Anolis sagrei: one gene and its partners. The protein of the gene in region 1 purifies or fractionates together with the protein of each later gene. This does not show direct contact. Links are inferred from orthologs where the notes say so. Each region holds a gene or a part of one and is shown on either strand. Other genes may lie near its edges.

Region 1 (6,937 bases):
TCTTTATGAAGAACCCAACTCAATTCTATTGCTCAGAGGACAGGGTAAAAGAATGAGGTTGGGTTATATGCAACTCACAAACAGGAAAAGGAAATGCATGGACTCTTTAAAAAAAAAGACTAGTATGCAAAAGGATTGTGTAGCATCGACATTGAGGAATGAATCCTTCCCAAAATACCTTGGAATCCAGGAGGGTCCAATGAGGGCAGCTGAGATAGTGACCCTTTTGTTTTCTGAGTGTTCAGTGTAACCATACACAAAATTATTAAAGTAATAATTGACCTTACATGTATAATGTGTATAATGAATTCCTGTTTAGACTTGGATCCCGTTACCAAGATATCTTATTAAATATATGCAAATATTCCAAAATACAGGACGATTCAAAATATGCAACACTTCTGGTCCAAAGCATTTCAGATAAGGAATACTCAACCTGAACTGGATCGTGTTATTTTAATATTTATACTAAAATGTTTTTTAATGCTTTGTCTTAATGTTTAAATGTTGTTTATGCCTTCTATTTTGTGGTTTTAATGATTTTAATGCATAGCTATATGTTAGTGTTTAGTTACTATGATTTTTTTTGAGTCCCTGGTGCGCAGTGGGTTAAACCCCTGTGCCGGCAGGACTGAAGACCTACAGGTCGCAGGTTCGAATCCAGGGAGAGGCGGATGAGCTCCCTCTATCAGCTACAGCTCCTCATGTGGGGACATGAGAGAAGCCCCCCACAAGGATAATAAAAACATCAAAATTATCCGGGCGTCCCCTGGGCAACGTCCTTGCAGACGGCCAATTCTCTCACACCAGAAGCGACTTGCAGTTTCTCAAGTCGCTCCTGACACAACAAAAAATGATTTTTTTTCTTTTTACATGTATGTTGGCATTGAATTTTTGTCATTAGTATTTTGTAATCCGCCTTGATTCCCCCTATGGCAGCGTTTCTCAACCTGGGGGTCGGGACACAAGAGGATGTCAGATGGGTCGCCAAAGACCATTAGAAAACAGTAATTTCTGTTGGTCATAGAGGTTTTGTGTGGGCAATTTGGCCCAATTCTATTGTTGGTGGGGTTCAGAATGCTCTTTGATGGTAGGTGAACTATAAATCCCAGCAACTACAACTCCCAAATGTCAAGGTCTGTTTCCCCCAAACTCCACCAGTGTTCACATTTCGGCATCTTGAGTATCCAGATCAAGTTTGGTCCAGATCCATCACTGAGTGCACAGTGCTCTCTAGATGTAGGTGAACTAGAACTCCAAAATTCAAGGTCAGTGCCCACCAAATCCTTCCAGGATTTTCTGATGGCCATGGGAGTTCTGTGTGCCAAGTTTGGTTCAATTCCATTGCTGGTGGACTTCAGAATGCTCTTTGATTGTAGGTGAACTATAAATCCCAGCAACTACAACTCCCAAATGACAACCCCTCCCCCAGCCCCACCAGTGTTCAAATTTGGGCGTATTGGATATTTGTGCCAAATTTGGTCCAGTGAGTGAAAATACATCCTGCATATCAGATATTCACTTTACAATTAATTGTTGTGTTGTTCATTCATTCAGTCGTCTCCAACTCTTCGTGACCTCACGGACCAGCCCACGCCAGAGCTCCCTGTCGGCCGTCACCACCCCCAGCTCCTTCAAGGTCAGTCCAGTCACTTCAAGGATGCCATCCATCCATCTTGCCCTTGGTCGGCCCTTCTTCCTTTTACCTTCCACTTTCCCCAGCATAATTGTCTTCAATTAATAACAGAAGCAAAATTACAGTTATGAAGTAGCAACAAAAATAATTTTATGGTTGGGAGTCACCACAACATGAGGAACTGTATTAAGCGGTCATGGCATTAGGAAGGTTGAGAAACACTGCCCTATGGGGTTCGAAAGAGGGGATATAAATACAGTAAATAAATCTATATCTGGTGTGATTTGGCCAGGGATGGACCATGGATTATGGGACTTGCAGTACCTTTGTTCAATTCCTGAGACCACTGCAACTCCCATCCAATTACCGACAAAGACCAAAATTGGCACACTGAGACTCCATGACGCACTCTACATCCAGGTGCAGTTTGAAGGAGGATGCACCATGGACGATGGGACTTGCAATACCTGCACTCCCTTTCTAAGACCATTACAACTGCCAACAATGATGGATCAGGAGCACAATTTACAGAGACCCAGCATAACCCACTCTACATCCTGGTGCGGTTTGGAAGAATTTGACAATGGATGATGGGACTTGCAGTCACTTCACTCACTTCCTGAGACCACTGAGACCCTCGCCAATGACTAATCAAGACTAAACTTGGCACATGGAGCTCCAATGACCCACTCTACATCCTGGTGCAGTTTGGAGGAGGACAGATAATGGATGATGGGACTTCAAGTACCTCCACTCCCCAAGACTGCTGCAAAACTCATCTAATGACCAATCAAGACCAAAGTTGGCACACAGAGCCCCCATGACCCACTCTATATCCTGCTGCTGTTTGGAGGAGGATGGGCCATGGATGATGGGACTAAGTGCCTTCACTCACTTCCTGAAAATAATGCAGCCGTTATCCAAAGACCAATAAAGACCAAACTTGGCATACAGAACCGCCATTACCCACTTTCTCTAATAACCCAGGCAACGCCGGGTCCCCAAGCTAGTAAATGAATAAATGTGGACTCCACTTCAACTGCCCAGGGATCGTGGGAGTTGGAGTCTTTACAAGGCCAAAAAGGGCCCAAACGACAACTCTGAGGATTCCATGGCAGTTATAGTGGAGCCAAACTGCATTCATTCCACAGTGTAGACGCAGTAGATGGCTGGGGGAATTCTGGGTGCTGCAATGCATGGAAAACTATGCTAGCAACTCCTTTCTCTCAGTCTGAACGGTGTTCCATGAGGCTGAGATTCCCAACTAGTGTGGCTTTCTGGAGAGTGTCGAAAAGGGGGTCCCCCAACACCACCTCGCCCCTTACCCGTGCTTCATCCGTGGGCGCTGCCCCTCCAGACCCACGCCGCGCTCCTCTCTCTGCAAGTCTCCCTCAGGCAGCCGAGCAAGAGGCGGATTCAAATGAACCGCGCCGAGCCGCCGCCAACGCGCCAATAAGGACGGGCCGCCGCTTTCAAAACGGCCAATCAGCGCGCGGCAAACCACCGGCGCCAAAGCGCTGCGGAAGAGCGGTCTTGGCTCGAGCCGAGGCCAGGCGGGCGGGCGCAGGAAACAGAGAAGAAAAGGAACAGCAACAAGAAATTAAAAATCGCGAGGCAGGGCACGTATTGATGACGTAACGCCATGTTGATACATAAGTGTCCATAAACCCTCTTAAATTTCTTTGGAATAATTTCCAATGGTATAAATAGACTCTCCTGCTTAGAGAGGCTTCCCAGCTCTTGGGTCCTTCCACATAGCCCTATAAAATCATAGAATCATAGAATCAAAGAGTTGGAAGAGACCTCATGGGCCATCCAGTCCAACCCCCTGCCAAGAAGCAGGAATATTGCATTCAAATCACCCCTGACAGATGGCCATCCAGCCTCTGTTTAAAAGCTTCCAAAGAAGGAGCCTCCACCACACTCCGGTGCAGAGAGTTCCACTGCTGAACGGCTCTCACAGTCAGGAAGTTCTTCCTCATGTTCAGATGGAATCTCCTCTCTTGTAGTTAGTTTGAAGACATTGTTCCTCGTCCTAGTCTCCAAGGAAGCAGAAAACAAGCTTGCTCCCTTCTCCTCCCTGTGGCTTCCTCTCACATATTTATACATGGCTATCATATCTCCTCTCAGCCTTCTCTTCTTCAGGCTAAACATGCCCAGCTCTTTAAGGCGCTCCTCATAGGGCTTGTTCTCCAGACCCTTGATCATTTTAGTCGCCCTCCTCTGGACACATTCCAGCTAGTTCACCTACATCCAGAGAGCACTGTGGACTCAAACAATGATGGATCTGGACCAAACTTGGCACAAATATTCCATATGCCCAAATATGAACACAGATGGAGTTTAAGGGAAATAGACCTTGACATTTGGGAGTTGTCATTGCTGGGATTTCTGGTTCACCTACAATCAAAGAGCATTCTGAACTCCACCAATGATGGAATTGAACCAAACATGGCATACAGGACTTCCATGACCAACAGAAAAAACTGGAAGGGTTTGGTGGACATTGACCTTGAGTTTGGGAATTGTAGTTCTTCCACATCCAGAGAGCACTGTGGACTCAAACAATTATGGATCTGCACCAAAGTCTACAAGAATACTCAATATGCCCAAATGTGAACACTGGTGGAGTTTGGGGAAAATAGAATCTTGACATTTGGGAGTTGTGGTTGCTGGAATTTATAATTCACCTACAATCACAGAGCATTCTGAACCCCACCAACAATAGAATTGGGCCAAACCTCCCACACAGAACCCCCATGTGGGCCACAGCAACCCGTGGCAAGGGATGGCTAGTCTATATAAATAAAAGTGTAATGTTCATTTGTGGGAATAACATAACACAAAAACCACTGGGGGAATTGACACCAAATTTGGACACAAGACACCTAACAACCCAATGTATGTCCTTCACTCAAAAAAATTGATTTTGTCATTTGGGAGGTGTAGTTGCTGGGATTTATAGTTCACCTGCAATCAAAGAGCATTCTGAACTCCACTAATGATGGAATTGGGCCAAACTTAGCACCCAGGGCTCCCATGACCAACAGAAAATACTGGAAGGATTTGGTGGGCAGTGTTCTTTGATTTTGGAGTTGTAGTTCACCTACATCCAGAGAGCACTGTGGACTCAAACAATGATGGATCTAGACCAAACTCTATACGAATACTCAATATGCCCAAATGTGAACACTGGTGGAGTTTGGGGAAAATAGACCTTGACATTTGGGAGTTGTAGTTTCTGGGATTTATAGTTCACCTACAATCAAAGAGCATTCTGAACTCCACCAATTATGGAATTCAACCAAACATGGCATACAGGACTTCCATGACCAACAGAAAACACTGGAAGGGTTTGACCTTGAGTTTGGGAGTTGTAGTTCACCTACATCCGGAGAGCACTGTGGACTCAAACAATGATGGATCTGGACCAAACTGTCTGGTTTGCCTACTCTGGAATATGCAACATATCATTGCCCTTCTTTAAGGGTGTCTTTCAAATCTATGATACTATATCTCTGTGTGTGAGAGAGAATCGTATCTATCTATCTATCTATCTATCTATCTATCTATATTTATGACTGGATGGCTCTTTGTCAGGAGGGATGTGGGTGAACTACAATTCCCAAACTCAAGGTCAATGTCCACCAAACTCTTCCAGTTTTTCTGTTGGTCATGGGAGCCCTGTGTGCTAAGCTTGGCCCAATTCCATCATTGGTGGAGTTCAGAATGCTCTTTGATTGTAGGTGAACTATAAATCCCAGCAACTACAACTCCCAAATAACAAAATCAATTTTTTTGAATAATGGGTTGTTAGGTATCTTGTGTCCAAATTTGGTGTCAATTCCCCCAGTGGTTTTTGAGTTCTGTTAATCCCACAAATGAGCATTACATTTTTATTTATATAGATACACTAGGGCAGCTCATCTCACTGTTGCCCATTAGAGGGCAGAGTAGACAAATGGATAGACATACAAATACAAATGTGTAGTTTTGACTCATTGCAGAAAATGTTACTGCAGAGAGACATAGGTTAGACAACTGAGATCAGCAATGTGTGGTCTCCAAATGTTGTGGGACTATATATTCCATCAACCTAGCCAGCATAGCCAATGGTAAGGACTGTGATTGGAGTTGCAGTCCAGCAATGTCTAGAGAACTGCACATTCACTATGCTTGCTTTAGCAACCTTTTCAGAAAGGCATGGTTAGTTTCAAAGTCTTGTGGGAAATTAATTTACCTAAAGAAATGCAAATAGCTCTGTAAAATAAACAATAGTGTAAACTAGAAGCAGAAATCCAAAAACATAAAACTTTAAAATGCTTCCTGAGAACTTGCAGAGTAAAGAATGCAGGGTAGGTGAAACAATATAACATGTTCTTACACATGCCCAATTCTTACGTATATTGTTATTACGTAAGTGACTAATATGCCATAAGTATATTAGCTTCACAGCCAGTTAGGCAAACAACTGCCTAGACTCAAGTAATAGTTTTCAATCTTTGTACCTCCGGATGCTTTTTGGCTTAATTTCCCGGAAGCCCCAGCAGCAAGGATTATGGGAGTTGACGGCCAAAATATTTGGAGAAAAACTGGAGAACCATGCAGACCCTATGATTGCATTCTCTGCCCAAAACTGCAAGGGAAAAGTGGGTTGAAAGTTGTCCCTCTGAGGCCTCTTCTACATTGCCATATAAAATCCAGATGATAAGTTTTGAAGTGGCAATGGAAACTCATATAATCCAGTTCAAAGAAGATAATGTGGATTTTCTGCTTTGATAATCTGGATTATATGGCAGTGTAGAAAGGGCCTAAGTTCCTTGAGAGCTATTTACAGTCATAATGAACATGACTAGGGGAGAGGAACAACTAACTTGAATTGTGTCGATGTTTCTCCCAACTGGTTGTGCAACAAACCAGATAAAAAAAGAGGCACCGTGGTGTAATGGTCTGAACACTGGACTATGACTTGGGAGACCATTGTTGATGCTTGGTAATTGTAATTGACAGGAGTATGCCAATTTCTCCAGTTTTTATGCCTCCTTTACAAATAATGTGTTCTAAGTAGATAGGGTAATAAAAGGCAGCCTTGCCTAAGGACATTGCCAACTGGAAATCATCCAGTTTCTCCATATGCTATCCCGACTGTAACCTCTTGACCTGAGTACAATCATCACCATCATCTTTAATTACTTATTAATCGCCCTCCATCCGAGATGCTCCAGGCGATTTACATTGCAGAAATTATACAGGATAAAACACATACATACAAATACTAAAATTAACATGGCTCAAATGTTC
Region 2 (7,019 bases), on another chromosome or scaffold:
GAAATGTCAGGAGAGAATGCTTCTGGAATGTGGCCATACAGCCTGGAAAACTCACAGCAACCCAATAACAATAATAAATATCCTATTGAAGGGATTAGGAATTGCTTCTGAAAAATGTGTATATGGGACTGCCTCCCAACTTGGAATTGGTGAGCTTTAAGACTCTTGTACTCAACCTCTGATCATATAGGTTGTTTCTGAGTTTTCCGGGCTGTATAGCCATATTACAGAAGCATTCAGAAGCAAACACGGCCATACAGCCCAGAAAACTCACAGCAACCCAGTGATTCCGACCATGAAAGCCTTCAAAAACTCACTCTCTCTCTCTCTCTCTCTCTATATATATATATTCATTCAATTATATGCTTCCCATATATGCCCATTTGCACACGCTGGAGTAAAGTTTGTAAAGGTAATGGTGGAAAGAATTCAAAGTGAGCAAACCGCATGAAGTTTTCAGTCCTAAACATTAGAGGAAGGGAATCTGTCTAGGAGATCTGAAATTGAAGAATTGATCAGCCTGGTTTCTTTATCAGTGTGGCTTGAGGGTTTTTAGTTTTCTGAAGAGACAAAAGTACGAAATTACCAGTAATTCGCTGGGTCTAATGGAGTTATCAGTGTAAATACACAGTTTTTCTGCAGTGAGAGGAATGGTTTCCTTCATTTTGGAGGCAACGAACATACAGGTAGCTCCCAGCAGTTGCAAGTGGCTTTTCTTAAGGGGTTCGAAAGAGAGATATCGGTCCAAATAATTCATAGCTAAGGGGAATACTTCTTCTTCGCACTTCTGCTCCTCACAAACCTGAAGGGAAAATAGGGGAAAAAAACAAAACAAAAAAACGGGGAAGGGAAAAACAAGAAACAAATCCTTACTTTTTTGAACCAACTTTTTCTTCCACACAAGAATGGTGAAGAAAATCCAATGAAATGAATTTCCCACTTTTATAAAAACCAAATGAACCAAGTCAATAAATGTGTTGAGAGTGTAAGGAGAGAAAAGAACTGAAAGAGAAAGTCGCAAGGGAAGTTGGAAAAACGTGGTCGGGGACTGAGGAGGCGAAATAAAAAGGCGAACAGGCTTTTGAAAAGCCCGAAATTAAGAAGCGACCCCCCAAAGTAGTTAGAAGTAGGTCTGCTTGGAGATATTTTTTGGGGGGTGTATAGCTGAGGTGCCCCCTATTGGCTCCCATTGGCTTGGGTGCTGCCTCCCCCCCTCCTCGCTCGAGACACAAAGGTGGCGTCGAAGAGGCAGCTGCACGCTTTTTCCCCAGACGTCATCTTTTCAAAAAATATTTAAAAATGTTTAAAAAATCACCAGCGCTTCCAAAAGTAGCTGAAAACAAACCCCGGGCGATTCTTTACCGATCCCTCATGAGAAGAATCACGGGGGATCCTCTGGTGGGACACCCCGAAGTCAAACTCCAGCACCCCCCATTCCTCTCCAAGCTCTCTCTTCTTGAGAAGCAACGTGCGACATTTGCCACCCGGGGGGCTTTCAAAAATTAATTAAAAATACTTCCCGGGCGCGGATTTTTTCGGGAAAGGGCTGAAAATGTAGCCCAAAGCCGGCTGCTTCTGATGGGACCCCTTTGAAGCGCCTCCTCCAAAGGGGGACCCCGATTTGCACTTGTTTTTGTACTGGGCGACCTTGCCGACAAGTCTCTGCAGGAGAAAGCAAGCACGTCTTCCGGGCGGGGGTGGGGAGGGGGGGAGGAGAGGAAGACCAGGGGTTTTCTCTCTCTCTGTGCGAACAAAGAAAAGTTTCTCCCCAAAGTTTGCAAGCCCAAAGCCCAGGGACCCCCCCCCCCCACCCTCAAGGGAAGTTTCTCGCCTCCTAATGATTAATAAACCCTTGCAATAAAAGAACAAAGATGGCGCAGAATACTGGCACGGGGAGCACTTGCATACGTGTCCATGGATATTAAATCTAAAATCAAAATCCCCCCCTGGGAGGCCCGGGGAGGCTCGAGGGAAAGGCCAGAAGGGAAGGCAGGAGCCGGGGCGCCTGGGCGAGGAAGCAGCCCACGCTTCGCTCCCAGGACCCTGCCTTTCGGGCTCATTCAAAAGTTCGCCTCCAAAGGTGACAGCGAGAGAAAGGAGGCCTGGCTTCGGGTGCAGGAAACGCCGGGGAAAGAGAGGAAAGGGAGGCAGGGAGAAAGCAGCCCAGGAGGAAAGGCTATCTTCGGGTGGAGGAAATGCCGGAGAGAGGAAAGAGAGGCAGGCAGAGGAAGCCCAGGCTTGCAATCCCCTTTCTCTCTCTCTCTTTCCAAGCAGAGGTTCTGCAGGGCTGGTCTGACTATTACTAAGTTAGTCTTGCAATCCCCTTTCTCTCTCTCTCTCTCTCCAAGCAAGGGTGGTTTGACTATTGCCAAGGAAGCCCAAGCTTGCCATTCCTTTCCTCCTTCTCTCTCGCTCTCTCTCTCGGAATGGTTACCAACCTCCAGCATCCAAGTGGCCACGATTTTCCTCATATATGGTAAGATCTCCTTCTGGACGCACTTGAAGTAGGAGACGGAGGGCGAGCAGGTCTCCTCGGCCTTGAGCATGGCCTGCAGGACCCGGTCGTTGAGGAGGTTGGCATCTTGGTAGGCTCTCCGGATGGTCTCCACTTCGCAGCAGAGCAGCTGGTGATCCATGCCGACGCCTCGCCTCTCTCTCTTTCTCTCTCTCTCCCCGCGTGCTTCCTCTCTTCCTTATGCTGTTCTTGCGAGGCTTTGTTTCTTTTCTCTCCGGAGGGAGTCTTGTTTCCAGGCTGCTCTTCTTCTCCTTCTTCTCCTTCCCTGGTTGCTCGGATGCTGCTGGCTGGGCTGACTCTCCTGCAGCAGCAGCAGCAGCAACGACTCCTCCTGCTTCGCTTCGCTGGTGCTACCGCTTGCTGCTGCTCCAGCCCTCTGGAGGCTGCGGGGAAACTTTCCAAACTTCCACCCTGCCGCCTGAGCCCCCTCTTGTGACGTGACTGTTGTTAAGCGGAGATCAAAGAATGCGAAGGAAGGAGAGAGCGAGCGAGGAAGGAGGGAGGGAGGGAGAGAGGGAGGGAGGGAGAGGAGCCAAAAGCAAGGGGCAGAGCCCTAAAGCCATCCCATCGCCTCCAAGGCCTTCCCCTTCGCCGCAGTTCAAGCAGGAGGAGGAGGAGAAGCAGCAGCAGCAGCAGCAAGGCGCTTACCCCCCCCTTCTCTCTCTCTCTCTTTTGCATACCCATGCAAATGAGCACTAAAGATCCCCCCCTCTCTTTTTTTTCCCGGGGAGGGGGAAAAAGAAGCAAATTGTCTTTCCAGTGCATTAGGCAGGATATGTTTAATAATAATGATGGTGATGATGGTGATAATAATGCGGGCTTTATGCAGCTGGTGCAGAATACAATGGGGGAAGTAGGCCACGGCCACACACAGGCAAACTTGAGGCCTGGGCAAACTTGGGCCCTCCCAAGTGTTTGGGGGTGCAACTCCTACCCTTCTTCACAGCTTCAGGCCCCTTCCTCTCCCCCCCCCCCACTTCATCCAGTTTAAGCTGTATAGCCATGTTCCAAAAGCATAGAAACATCACTTACTTGTGACTTCATCACATTGAAAAAAAATCCCCCTTAAATCCGGTTTGTGCCTCCTGCTTTGGAGTGCAACTCCCACCATTCCTCACAGCCTCAGGCCCGGAGACCTGGACCAACTTGGAGTACAACTCTCACCATTCCTCACAGCTTTACCCCCCCCCCCCCCCAATCATCCAGCTTAAACTGTAAAGCCATATTCCAAAAGCATAGAAACCTCACTTATGACTTCATCACACTAGAGAAAAAATCCACTTTAAATCCGGTTTGTACCTCCTGTTTTGGAGTGCAACTCCCACCATTCCGCACAGCCTCATGCCCCTTCCTCCCCACACAAGTCAGCTTAAGCTATATGGCCATGTTCCAAAAGCATAGAAACCTCACTTATGACCTCATCACATTACAGAAAAAAATCCACTTTAAATCCAGTTTCTGCCTCCTGCAGAATTCTCCTTGTAGTTTAGTGACACTGTTAAAGGCTCCTTCCTAAACTACAAACCCCAGAATTCTGCAGGAAGCAGAAACCGGATTTAATGTGGATTCTTTCTCTAGTGTGATGAGTCCCTTTGCTGTTGTAGGTTTTTTGGGCTGTATGTTCTAGAAGCATTCTCTCCTGACATTTTGCCTGCATCTATGGCAGGCAGCCTCAGAGGTTGTGAGGTATACCTGCCATAGAAGCAGGCGAAATGTCAGGAGAGAATGCTTCTAGAACATGGCGGTACAGCCTGAAAAACCTACAGCAACCCAGTGATTCTGGCCATGAAAGGCTTCGACAATACATTCTCCTGTTTAAGTTTCCAACACACCTCTCAACCTCTGAGGATGCCTGCCATAGATGCAGGCGAAACGTCAGGAGGGAATGCTTCTGGAAAATGAGTGATACAGCCCGGAAAACACAGCAACCCAGTGATTGGCTCAAACTTTTCCCATAGGATATAGAGGTCCCTTCAAAGATTGGGGTTGAAATCTGGACACTTTGGGGGGGGGGGGGTCCAGCTGCCAGTTTTGGACCTACCACGTGGCTGCAGAATGCCAGCCAGATCTTTGGGATCAGGGGGGTTGATTTCCCCCCTTTCCATCTAAAAACACACTTGGAAACCAGGTTTACTTCTTCCAAGATGGGGAACAAAGGCAGCATTGAGAGAGAGGGAGCAGAGCTGGAAGTTGCAGCGTCTCTTTAAAGCAGGCCTGGGCCAACTTGGGCCCTCCAGGTGTTTTGGAGTGCAACTCCCACCATTCCCAGAGCCTCAGGCCCCTTCCTTTTCCCCCTCAGCTTAGAAGGAGAAACGTGGTGGGGCTTCAACGCCACGTGGTAGGTCCAAAACTGGCAGCTGGAGCCCCCAAAATGTAGATTTCAGCCCCAAATCTTTGAATGGGCCCCTACATCATATGGGGAAAGGATCAGCCATTCATTTCCGCAGGGCGACCTGTTTGTTGGAGTTGAATCTCTGGCAGGAATTAAAGGCGCAGAGAGGGATTAAAGAAAGTTGAGTTGTTGTGAGTTTTCCGGGCTGCATGACCACGTTCCAGAAGCATTCTCTCCTGGCGTTTCGCCTGCATCTGTGATGCAGGCGAAACGCCAGGAGAGAATGCTTCTGGAACATGGCCATGCAGCCCGGAAAACTCACAGCAACCCAGTGTTTCCGGCCTTGAAAGCCGACAATACATTAAGGAAAGTTGCATTCTACTTCAAGGAGTCCCGCAATGGGTCTCGGAAGGGGCAGGGCGGCCTTCCTTTGTGCCTTGACTTCAGGAGACACATTCCCCAAGCCGCGTGGCTCAAGGGAAGGAAGTCAATGGGGGCGAGAGAGGTGGAACTCGGAAGTCTGCCCCGTCCGGCTTCCGGGGATCTTCTCTTTCCCCCGGTTGGTGGGTCTGGCCCGTTTCACCCACAAGCCCGGGCTTCCTGGGCGACTGGCTCCCTCGCGCTGCCTTGCCTCCAGGGAGGGCGCCTTCCTTGGGCTGGAGCCGAGCCTCGCTCGAGGCAACTCCCCGCAAATTCCAGGCACGCCTTGGGATGCAAACTTCCCAGGATGATACGTGTTGTCCAAGGCTTTCCTGGCCGGAATCGCTGGGCTTGCTGTGCGATTTCCGGGGTGTCTGGCTATGTTTCAGAATCATTCTCTCCTGACGTTTCGCCCACATCTATGGCAGGCATCCTCAGAGGTTGTGAGGTCTGTTGGAAACTAGGCAAGTGGGGTTTATATATCTGCGGAATGTCCAGGGTGGGAGAAAAAACTCTTGTCTGCTCGAGGCAACTATGAATGTTGCAATTGACCACCTTAATTGGCATTAAATGGCCTTGCAGCTTCAAAGCCCGGCTGCTTCCTGAATGGGGAAGCCTTTTTTGGGAGAAGTTAGCCAGTCTTTGAAGCTGCAAAGCCATTCAATGCTAATCAAGTGAGGTTTATATATGTGGGAGAAAGAACTCTTGTCTGCTTGAGGCAAGTGTGAATGCTGTAGTTGGCCACCTTGATTAGCATCAAATGGCCTTGCAGCTTCGAAGCCCGGCTGCCTCCTGCCTGGGGAAGCCTTTGTTGGGAGGAGTTAGCCAGTCTTCGAAGCTTCAATGCTAATCAAGTGAGGCTAATATCTTTGAAAGGTCCAGGGTGGGAGAAAGAACTCCTGTCTGCTGGAGGCAAGTGTGAATATTGATTAGCATTGAATGGCCTTGCAGCTTCAAAGCCTGTCTGACACCTCCCAACAAAGGATTGCCCCAGACAGGAAGCAGCCAGGCTTTGATCCTGCAAGGGTATTCAATGCTAATCAAGGTGGCTAACTGCAACATTCACACTTGTCTCAAGCAGACAAGAGTTCTTTTTTCCACCCTGGACCTTCCAGGTATATAAACCTCACTTGATTCGCGCTGAATGGCCTTGCAGCTTCAAAGCCTGGCTGCTTCCTGCCTGCGGGGAACCTTTGTTGGGAGGGGTTAACCAGTCTTTGAAGTTGCGAGGCCATTCAATGCTAATCAAGGTGGCCAACTGCAGCATTCACACTTGCCTCAAGCAGACAAGAGTTCTTTCTTCCACCGTGGACGTTCCAGATATCTAAACCTCACTTGATTAGCATTGAATGGCCTTGCAGCTTCAAAGACTGGCTAACCCCTCCCAGCATTCCACGGATAGATTAACCCCCAATTGATTGCCCATTTTCCTAGTTTCCAACAGACCTCCCAACTTCAGGGGATGCCTGCCATAGAGGTGGGCGAAACGTCAGGAGAGAATGCTTCTGGAAAGCATCGCCCGAAAAGGCACAGCAATGCAATTCAAGGACCTGGTTTTGGCATAAGAATCACCCGGACTTCCCCAATTTGGGGGTTCTTCTATTCTGATCCCGGGGGAGGATTGTGCCCATGCCTCTCCTCTCGCTTGCCCTGGCGCTCCTGCAATGGGGATGTCTTAATTGGGGGCTCTTTTGGGGGGGGGGGAATATAAAGCTCGCTCAATGGGCAGCTCCTCCCTCCCCCCTCTCCTTG
Region 3 (7,896 bases), on another chromosome or scaffold:
AATAGTAATTATATATATCCAACTTCAGTGCCGTAATATTGGCCTGAATCCATCAGATGGAGAAATGCAGAGGAGCCAATAATACGAAGGGGACTTTTGAAGGAAAGAAAGAGTCTAAAGCTCGCCTGCCTCCCTTTGCAAAAAGCTGCTTACCGCCCAAAAGGAGGGGCAGGGGCAGAACCCTATAGGGCAAGTCCTGAACTTTGAAAAAGAGCACAACTCAAACTACAAAATTCCATTAGGGTTCTTCTAAGATCTTCAGCACAAAAGTAAACCTTGCATAAGGTTGCAAAGATTCCCAACAAAAGGGGCTGCATCTACACTACATATTTAATTGCAATCAATACCACTTTGAACTGCCATGGAATGCTAGGAGCTATAGTTTGTTGAGGTATCAGAGCTCTTTGCCAGAGAAGGTTTGCAAAACAAAAACAACGATAACACAAACCTTGGCAGTTAAAGTGGTATTAAACTGCATTAATTCTACAGTGTAGGTGCACATAGGCTGCCCCTCAAACTCCGTGCCAAACAACTCCTTCCACCAATTATTTTAAGAACTTCACTTTTCAAAGTTTTTAGTCTTTAGGGTCATCTTCACTGTAGAATTAATCCAGTTTGACACCACTTTAACCGCCATGGCTCAGTGCTATGAATCACGGGAGAAGTGGTTTTTTTCAAGGCCTTTATCCTTTTCTGCCAAGGAGTGAGCCTCACCAAACAACTCCCACAGTCCATAACATTGAGCCATGGCAGTTAAGGAAGTGTCAAACTGGATTAATTCTACAGTGTGCAATGAAGACCAGAAGGAAGGCCCCACTGAATTAAAGAGGACTTTCTTATCCCCAGGTAAAGGTTTCCCCTTGACATTACATCTAGTGGAGTCCAACTCTGGCAAGTGGTGCTCATCTTCATTTCTAAGCTGAAGAGCTGGCATTGTCACCTCCAAGGACATGTGGCCAGCACAATTGCATGGAGTACCATTACCCTCCTACCGAAGCGATACCTATTTATCTACTCACATTTGTATGTTTTTTAATTGCTAGGTTGGCAGAAGCTGGGGCTAACAGCAGGGGCTCATCCCGCTCCCCGGATTCAAACCGCCAAACTTTTTGTCAGCAAGTTCAGCAGCTAAGCAGTGTAACCCACTGCACCACCAGGGACTCCACTCTGATCCCCAATTTCTTGGAATTCTACCATAATGAACTGGATAGTTACTAGTCCCAACAAGAGTTTAATAATAATAATACAGTACAGTATTGCTCATCCAATGTTCTGTATTGTCTAATGCAGGGGTCCTCAAACTAAGGCCCGGGGGCCGGATATGCCCCTCCCAGGTCATTTACCCGGCCCTCGCTCAGGGTCAACCTAAGTCTGAAATGACTTGAAAGCACACACTGAAATACTAATAAGTTTATATTTGTTAAAAATGATCTTCATTTTAATTATTGTATTGTTTTAAAGCATTTTTGGCACTACAAATAAGATATGTGCAGTGTGCATAGGAATTAATTCATGTTTTTTTTTTTCAAATTATAATCCGGCCCTCCAACAGTTTGAGGGACTGTGACCTGGCCCTCTGCTTAAAAAGTTTTTGGACCCTTGATCTAATGCATTCCGAATTCACAGCTGTTTCAATACGATGTGATATTTTGGTGCTAAATCCATAAATACAGCAATTACTACATAACATTACCGTGTATTGAACTGCTTTTTCTGTAAATTTGTTGTAAAACATGATGTTTTGGTGCTTAATTTGTAAAATCATAATGTAATTTGACGTTTAATAGGCTTTTCCTTAATCCCTCCTTATTATCCAACATTTTTGCTTATCCAACGTTCTGCTGGCCCCTTAATGTTGGATAAGCAAGACTCTACTGTAGTAGTAATAATAATAATAATGTTATTAAAATCAAGTGGATGGCTACTAGTCCCAACAAGAGTTGAATAATAATAATAATAATAATAATAATAATGTTATTAAACTGAAGTGAATGGTTATTAGTCCCAACAAGAGTTAAATTATTACTATCGCATTTATTTTACTGAACTGAACAGTCACTAATCCAAACTAGAATAACTATTCTTATTCTTCTTCTTATTATTATAAAAGCAAAATGGCTATTATTTATTTATTTACAACATTTTTACACTGCTTTTCACATTCCTGGGGGGAGTCAAAGCGGTTTCCAAAAAGAATGGCAAAATTCAATGCCTTCCATATATAAACCAAATTATAACTTAAACAGCATATAACTAAGCATAAATTCAATAGGACAATTTGCCATAAGATAAGAGGACATTTAAACATGAAACATAAAAATTAAAAACACCTAATACAAATATTAAAAGCACATATCCAAACTAGTCCCAACTATATCATCATCATCATTATTATTATATCTATTTTATTGAATTGAACTGGATGGCTACTAGCCCCAATAATAATAATAATAATATCTATTTTATTGAATAAATTATTATAATTATTATAATTATTATATTACATTGAACTGGATGGCTACTAGTCCCAATAATGATAATAATATCTATTTTATTTAATATATTATTATTATATTACCTTGAACTACATGGCTACTAGTCCCAATAATAATAATAATAATAATAATAATAATATAGATTTTATTGAATAAATTATTATTATTATATTACCTTGAACTGCATGGCTCCTAGTCTCAACAAGAATTTAATAATAATCATCATCATCATCTTATGGCACTGAACTGGGTGGCTACTAGTCCGAACTAGAGCTAAATAATAATAATAGTAATAATAATAATAGTAGTAGTCTTAATATTTCTCTCTGCTCTGAAAAGAGACTCAACCCGGCCAAGCCTGCAAACAACGCCACTTGCCACTCAAGAACCTGCAACAACAACCATGAAAAAAATCATGTAAGAGTTTCAATCCCTCACCGCCAACTTTCATGCTGCAAGAACGGACGTCGCCGCGCCAAACTCACCGCCAGCGCTCAAACAGGCCGGTGGGTGTGGCCCCACTTGGCCCCGCCCCCTCCGGGCCCAGTCTCATTCACAAGCACCTCCCGCCTCCTTTTTCAGCCTCGAAGCCACGCCCCCCACTTCGAACTCAGCGACCAATTGCTTGCGGTTCCGCCAAAGGGCCTTGACGAAGCCACACCTCCTTCCTGCTTGTTTTTTTTCTTTTTTTCTTTTCAAAAAAGTCACCGCGCGCTCACTTTTTCAAACCCCGCTGGGCTGCTGATTGGACGGGAGGCGGGGCAAAGAGAGCGCCGCCGGGCCGCGATTGGGCAGCAGGACTCCGAAGGGGTGGGGAAGATTCGAACGCTTGGGGCTGGTCGGCACAGGCGCAGATGAGAGCAACAGAAAGCATTCCGGCCCAAGCCTCCCGAGGAATGCCTCCGCAGTGCAGAAGTCATGCCATTCCGTTTCAGTTGAAAGGGCGTGCTTTGATGCAAGGGAATCGCAGTTTTACAATACATAATAGTAATAGTAATAGCATTCTAGGGTTCAAAGGATCTCTTAAGGCCATCTATCCCATCCCTTTATTCTGCCTTCATGCAGGAAAAGCACCATCAAAGCCCTCCCGACAGAGGGCCATCCAGGTTCTGCTTATTAATACTGTAATAATCATATTAGAATCCTAGAGTTGGAAGAGAACCCAAGGGGGCATCTAGTCCAAGCCCCTTTATTCTGCCATGCAGGAAAAGCACCATCAAAGCCCTCTCGACAGATGGCCATCCAGCCTTTGCGGTGATGATAATAATAATAATAGGAGCAACCCCAGGGGGCATCTAGTCCAGCCCCCTTTATTCTGCCATGCAGGAAAAGCACCATCAAAGCACCCCCAACAGGTGACCATCCAGCCTTTGTAGTAGTGATGATAATAATACAATAACAACAACAATAGTAATAAGAGCAACCCTAGGGCCCATCCAGTCCAACCCCCTTCTGCCTTCATGGAGGGAAAGCACTGAAATAGAGCAATGTAGAGCTGTCGTGGATAGTGAGATCCAGACTTCTAGGCTGCTGTGGGCCATGTCTGGGGAGACAAAGAAGCCAATGTTACAGAATGAATCTCACCAAGTTATAGAATCTTAGTTGGAAGAGACCTCGTGAGCCATCCAGTCCAACCCCATCCTGCCAAGAAGCAGGAACATCGCATTCAAAGCACCCCCGACAGATAGACATTCAGCCTGTTTCAAAGCCTCCAAAGAAGGAGCCTCCACCACAGTCCAGGGCAGAGAGTTCCACTGCTGAACAGCTCTCACAGTTAGGAAGTTTGCGTGTGGTGATGGGGTGGGGGTCACACTCGATTACAGCACCGCCAAAGCCCCCTGACAGATGGCCAGGGGGCTCAATAATAATCATAATACAATCATATTATCCTAGATTTGGAAGGAAGCCCAAAAGCCATCTAGCAGGCCCGTAGCCAGGATTTCGTTTCGGGGGGTGGGGTGATTTTTTTTCAGGGGGGGTTTCAGGGGGGCTGAGCTTCGGGGGGGGGGGGGGCTGAGTCTGAGTGAAAGAGGGTCTACCCTAGCAAACATTTTGTATCATTACCCCAATACCCCCATGCATATGGGATATATTGAGTATGGTGATCAGATCATGATATGAATACACATAACAGTTTAAGTAATGCACCAGTAAGGCCTTTTCGCGAACCACCATGAGAATTGGGGGGGGGGGGGCTGCTGAAGCCCCCCGAGGCCCCCCCCCCCGGCTACATGCCTGCCATCTAGTTCAACTCCCTTCTGCTTTCATGCAGGAAAAGCACCATCAAAGCCCCCTGACAGATGGCCATCCAGCCTATGTTTAAAAGCTTCCAATGGATTCCAAGGCAGAGAGTTCCACTACAGCTCTCACAGTTAGGAAGTTTGTATGTGCAGGCGGGAGGGTCACATTCGATTACAGCACCATCAAAGCCTCTTGACAGATGGCCATCCAGCCTCAAAAATAATCATAATACAATCATATTATCCTAGAGTTGGGAGGGAGCCCAAAAGCCAGCTAGTCCCTTCTGCTTTCATGCAGGAAAAGCACCATCAAAGCCCCTGACAGATGGCCACCCAGCCTCTGTTTAAAAGCCTCCAAGGAAGGAGCTTCCAATAAACTCTGAGGCAGAGAGTTCCACTGCCAAACAGCTCTTATTACGGTCAGGAAGTTCTTCCTACTAAAATTCAGGTAGAATGTCCTTTCCTGTCATTTGAACCCATTGCCCTGAATCTCTCCAGAGCAGCAAAATAAATAAATAAATAAAATAATCTTTCAAAAGCCTGTTCCAGTCCTCAAATCTTTCCAGAGTTATCATGCCTCCTTTCGGCTTTTGTTTCTCCAAACTCAACTTAGCCAGCTCCGTAAGCCATTTCGTATAGGCTTACAGAGCCAATCATTCCCACTGATCATTTCAATCGCCATTCTCTGGACAGCATTCCAACTTGAAAATCGTCCCCTTGAAATGCTTTGCCTAGAACTGGACACAGGGTTATTATTCCAGTTGAGAATGTGTTGTCGAGGACAGACCCCCCCCCCCCTCAGGGAATATTAAATTGGCATGGTTGGCACCACAGCTGAGAGTTCCACAGGCCTCGGGTGCCTTCTAAATTAAAGAAATAATTCTCCATCCAGTGGTCTGGAGGAGCCAACCAGCAGCTACCAGCGCCCAGGAGACTTCTCACCCCCCCCCCCACCTTTAATTCCTGCTTCTCCGTCTCTCCTTTTCCTCCCAGAATCCTTCCTTTCTCCTCAGTTCCACATTCCACTGCCAGCCTGGTGGCCACTTGGTCCACATGACCCACATAGCTCCCATGACCTCCCCCCTCTCCCAGATCTAGCAACACTGCTTTCCTTCCTTTTCTTACCTTGGCTAACATTGACCTGTTCCTGGTAAGCCCAATATGTTCTCCCCAAACCGTGGATACCGAGATCTATCATTTGTCCCTCGGTATCCGTGGATGAGTAATCTGTGCTCCTTTCTCACCCCAAGCCCCTCGCTAACCTTTGTTCCCACCTTGAGAGCTCCAATGTGCACCAAAACCATGTTTCTCCTTTGTTTTTCCTTTTTTTTTCACTCAATTGTCCTCAGTGAGAGGGTTCTTTGCTGTGTTGCTGTGGGTTAGACTTCATTAGAAAGAAATATGCTAAGTCACACAGCAGTTAAAGTTATCATGCATCTTTATTGTTCAGAATCCAAGAAATAACCATTCTGCTCACTTTCTAGGGCCTAAACTACAACATCATAAATTACTCAATGGTTGTGGCTCCTTTCCCACAAACCAGAGCCCATCTCCTCTCAGCTCAAGGCAATTGAGTTTTATGGCTGGTTCATATGTCCTAGTAAGATCTTGTCCTCCCTTTTTGCCAAAGGCCATGTGCTCTACTTCAGGGATGTTAGTCAGCTGGCATGAGTGAGGGATCATGACACTCAGATAACCTAACTTTTACTCTACTAACCCTGAAACTGCTTTAGCCTTGCTCACGGATGCCGAGATCTGTTGTTTCTCCCTCGGTATCCGCTGATCACAGCCCTACACGTCCTCTAAGACCCCTGAACCCCCTCACCCAACTCCCACCTCCATAGGTGTCCTGGTTATCCCGGAAGCCTCCATATCCACCAATCTTCACCTTTTTCTGTTTTACCCATCTATTCTCTTATCCATAATTCCCTTGCCCGCACCTCACCCCAAGTCCCATAATCCACATCTACACTAACTTATGCAGATACCAAAACCCAAAGGGGCTCCCAGGTATTCGTGGATTTCTCCTGTTTGTTCCCCCATCCCATGGGCATCACACTACCTATCTATTGGGTTCTCTCGCTGTCCACGGCCCCATATATGTCCATATCTTAGCTTTTCCTCCCCATGGGAGCCAGGGACTCCATAAGGTCAGGTCCTCCTTGACATTCATATACCTCCTGCATATGTGTCCCCTTTGTCCTGTAGCTACTGGGTCTCTGTGGGGTAAGTCCTCCACTATCCGTGAGATCACTTTTGTGTGTTTTATTAAAATTTCTGTATTTTGTGTCTTACTCTAAAATCTTTTTGGAGGAGCTTTGCCACCAAACCTTGTGATGACCTTTTACTCACTTATTGTGACCTAGAAAGTCCAGTCAGCTGTATTCCTGGGCTTTATTTGCATGAAACTGGATTCAATCGCCCTTCACTTTTTGGCTAGTCCATCTCTATTAGCCCCATAGAACTCCAGCTGTGCCAAGGACAACAGGATCCAGAGGTACAGGCCACCTGTCCTTTGCGCAGCTTATTGGACATACAATTACACTCATCGCTTGGCATGGTGGTTCCCAGATAAGAAAGCCATGCCCCGTTGACACACAATAGCATTTCCCCTTTCTCAGCAACTTGCCACTTCATCGTATTAGGATGAACAATACTCTGCCTTGGACTTTTTTGACATTCAGCACCCACTGCACTGCACCCACAAACTGGGGACTCAGATTGTTATCATTTCAACAATAAAGGTTCTTGGGACCTGATGTCCCCTATTGTTTGTCCCTTGCTGGGACCACATAATAACAATAATAATAATAATAATAATAATAATAATAATAACTTTATTTATACCCCACTACCATCTCCCCAAGGGACTCGGTGCGGCTTACATGAGACCGAGCCCACAATACATCAGTTATAAAAACAATAACAACAGTAATACAAACAATAAAATAAAACTCATAACAAAAAATAAGCAATAAACATTAACAGTAACACAACAATGTTTAAGAGACCTATAGCTGGGCCAAATGTAATAATTAAATTTTTAAAAATAATGTTGAGCATAATCCACTCAAGACTCATTTCAGCGTCTTTGTCTATTGGACTGCCCAGCCCTCATCAGCCATTGGACAGAGAAAAATCTACATTGAGAGTGAGGAATG

Evidence for each region. The genes of interacting proteins can lie anywhere in the genome.
Region 2: the proteins of CDK1 (region 1) and CCND1 purify together in Homo sapiens (affinity purification with mass spectrometry; 4 studies listed by BioGRID and IntAct, counting the BioPlex papers as one, with this or other methods). This does not show direct contact. The link is inferred for Anolis sagrei from reciprocal best matches to the Homo sapiens genes CDK1 and CCND1.
Region 3: the proteins of CDK1 (region 1) and CCNF purify together in Homo sapiens (affinity purification with mass spectrometry; 3 studies listed by BioGRID, with this or other methods). This does not show direct contact. The link is inferred for Anolis sagrei from reciprocal best matches to the Homo sapiens genes CDK1 and CCNF.

Annotation. Positions count from the first base shown.
Region 1 is NC_090023.1:165,445,002-165,451,938, reverse strand, and holds the start of CDK1 (cyclin-dependent kinase 1), read right to left. Parts: upstream 3,078-6,937; 5' UTR 2,962-3,077; intron 1-2,961. UniProt on the Homo sapiens protein: Plays a key role in the control of the eukaryotic cell cycle by modulating the centrosome cycle as well as mitotic onset; promotes G2-M transition via association with multiple interphase cyclins.
Region 2 is NC_090021.1:266,611,820-266,618,838, reverse strand, and holds the start of CCND1 (G1/S-specific cyclin-D1), read right to left. Parts: upstream 3,016-7,019; 5' UTR 2,637-3,015; coding exon 2,439-2,636; intron 803-2,438; coding exon 587-802; intron 1-586. UniProt on the Homo sapiens protein: Regulatory component of the cyclin D1-CDK4 (DC) complex that phosphorylates and inhibits members of the retinoblastoma (RB) protein family including RB1 and regulates the cell-cycle during G(1)/S transition.
Region 3 is NC_090034.1:27,930,424-27,938,319, forward strand, and holds the start of CCNF (cyclin-F), read right to left. Parts: upstream 3,016-7,896; 5' UTR 2,947-3,015; coding exon 2,934-2,946; intron 1-2,933. UniProt on the Homo sapiens protein: Substrate recognition component of a SCF (SKP1-CUL1-F-box protein) E3 ubiquitin-protein ligase complex which mediates the ubiquitination and subsequent proteasomal degradation of target proteins.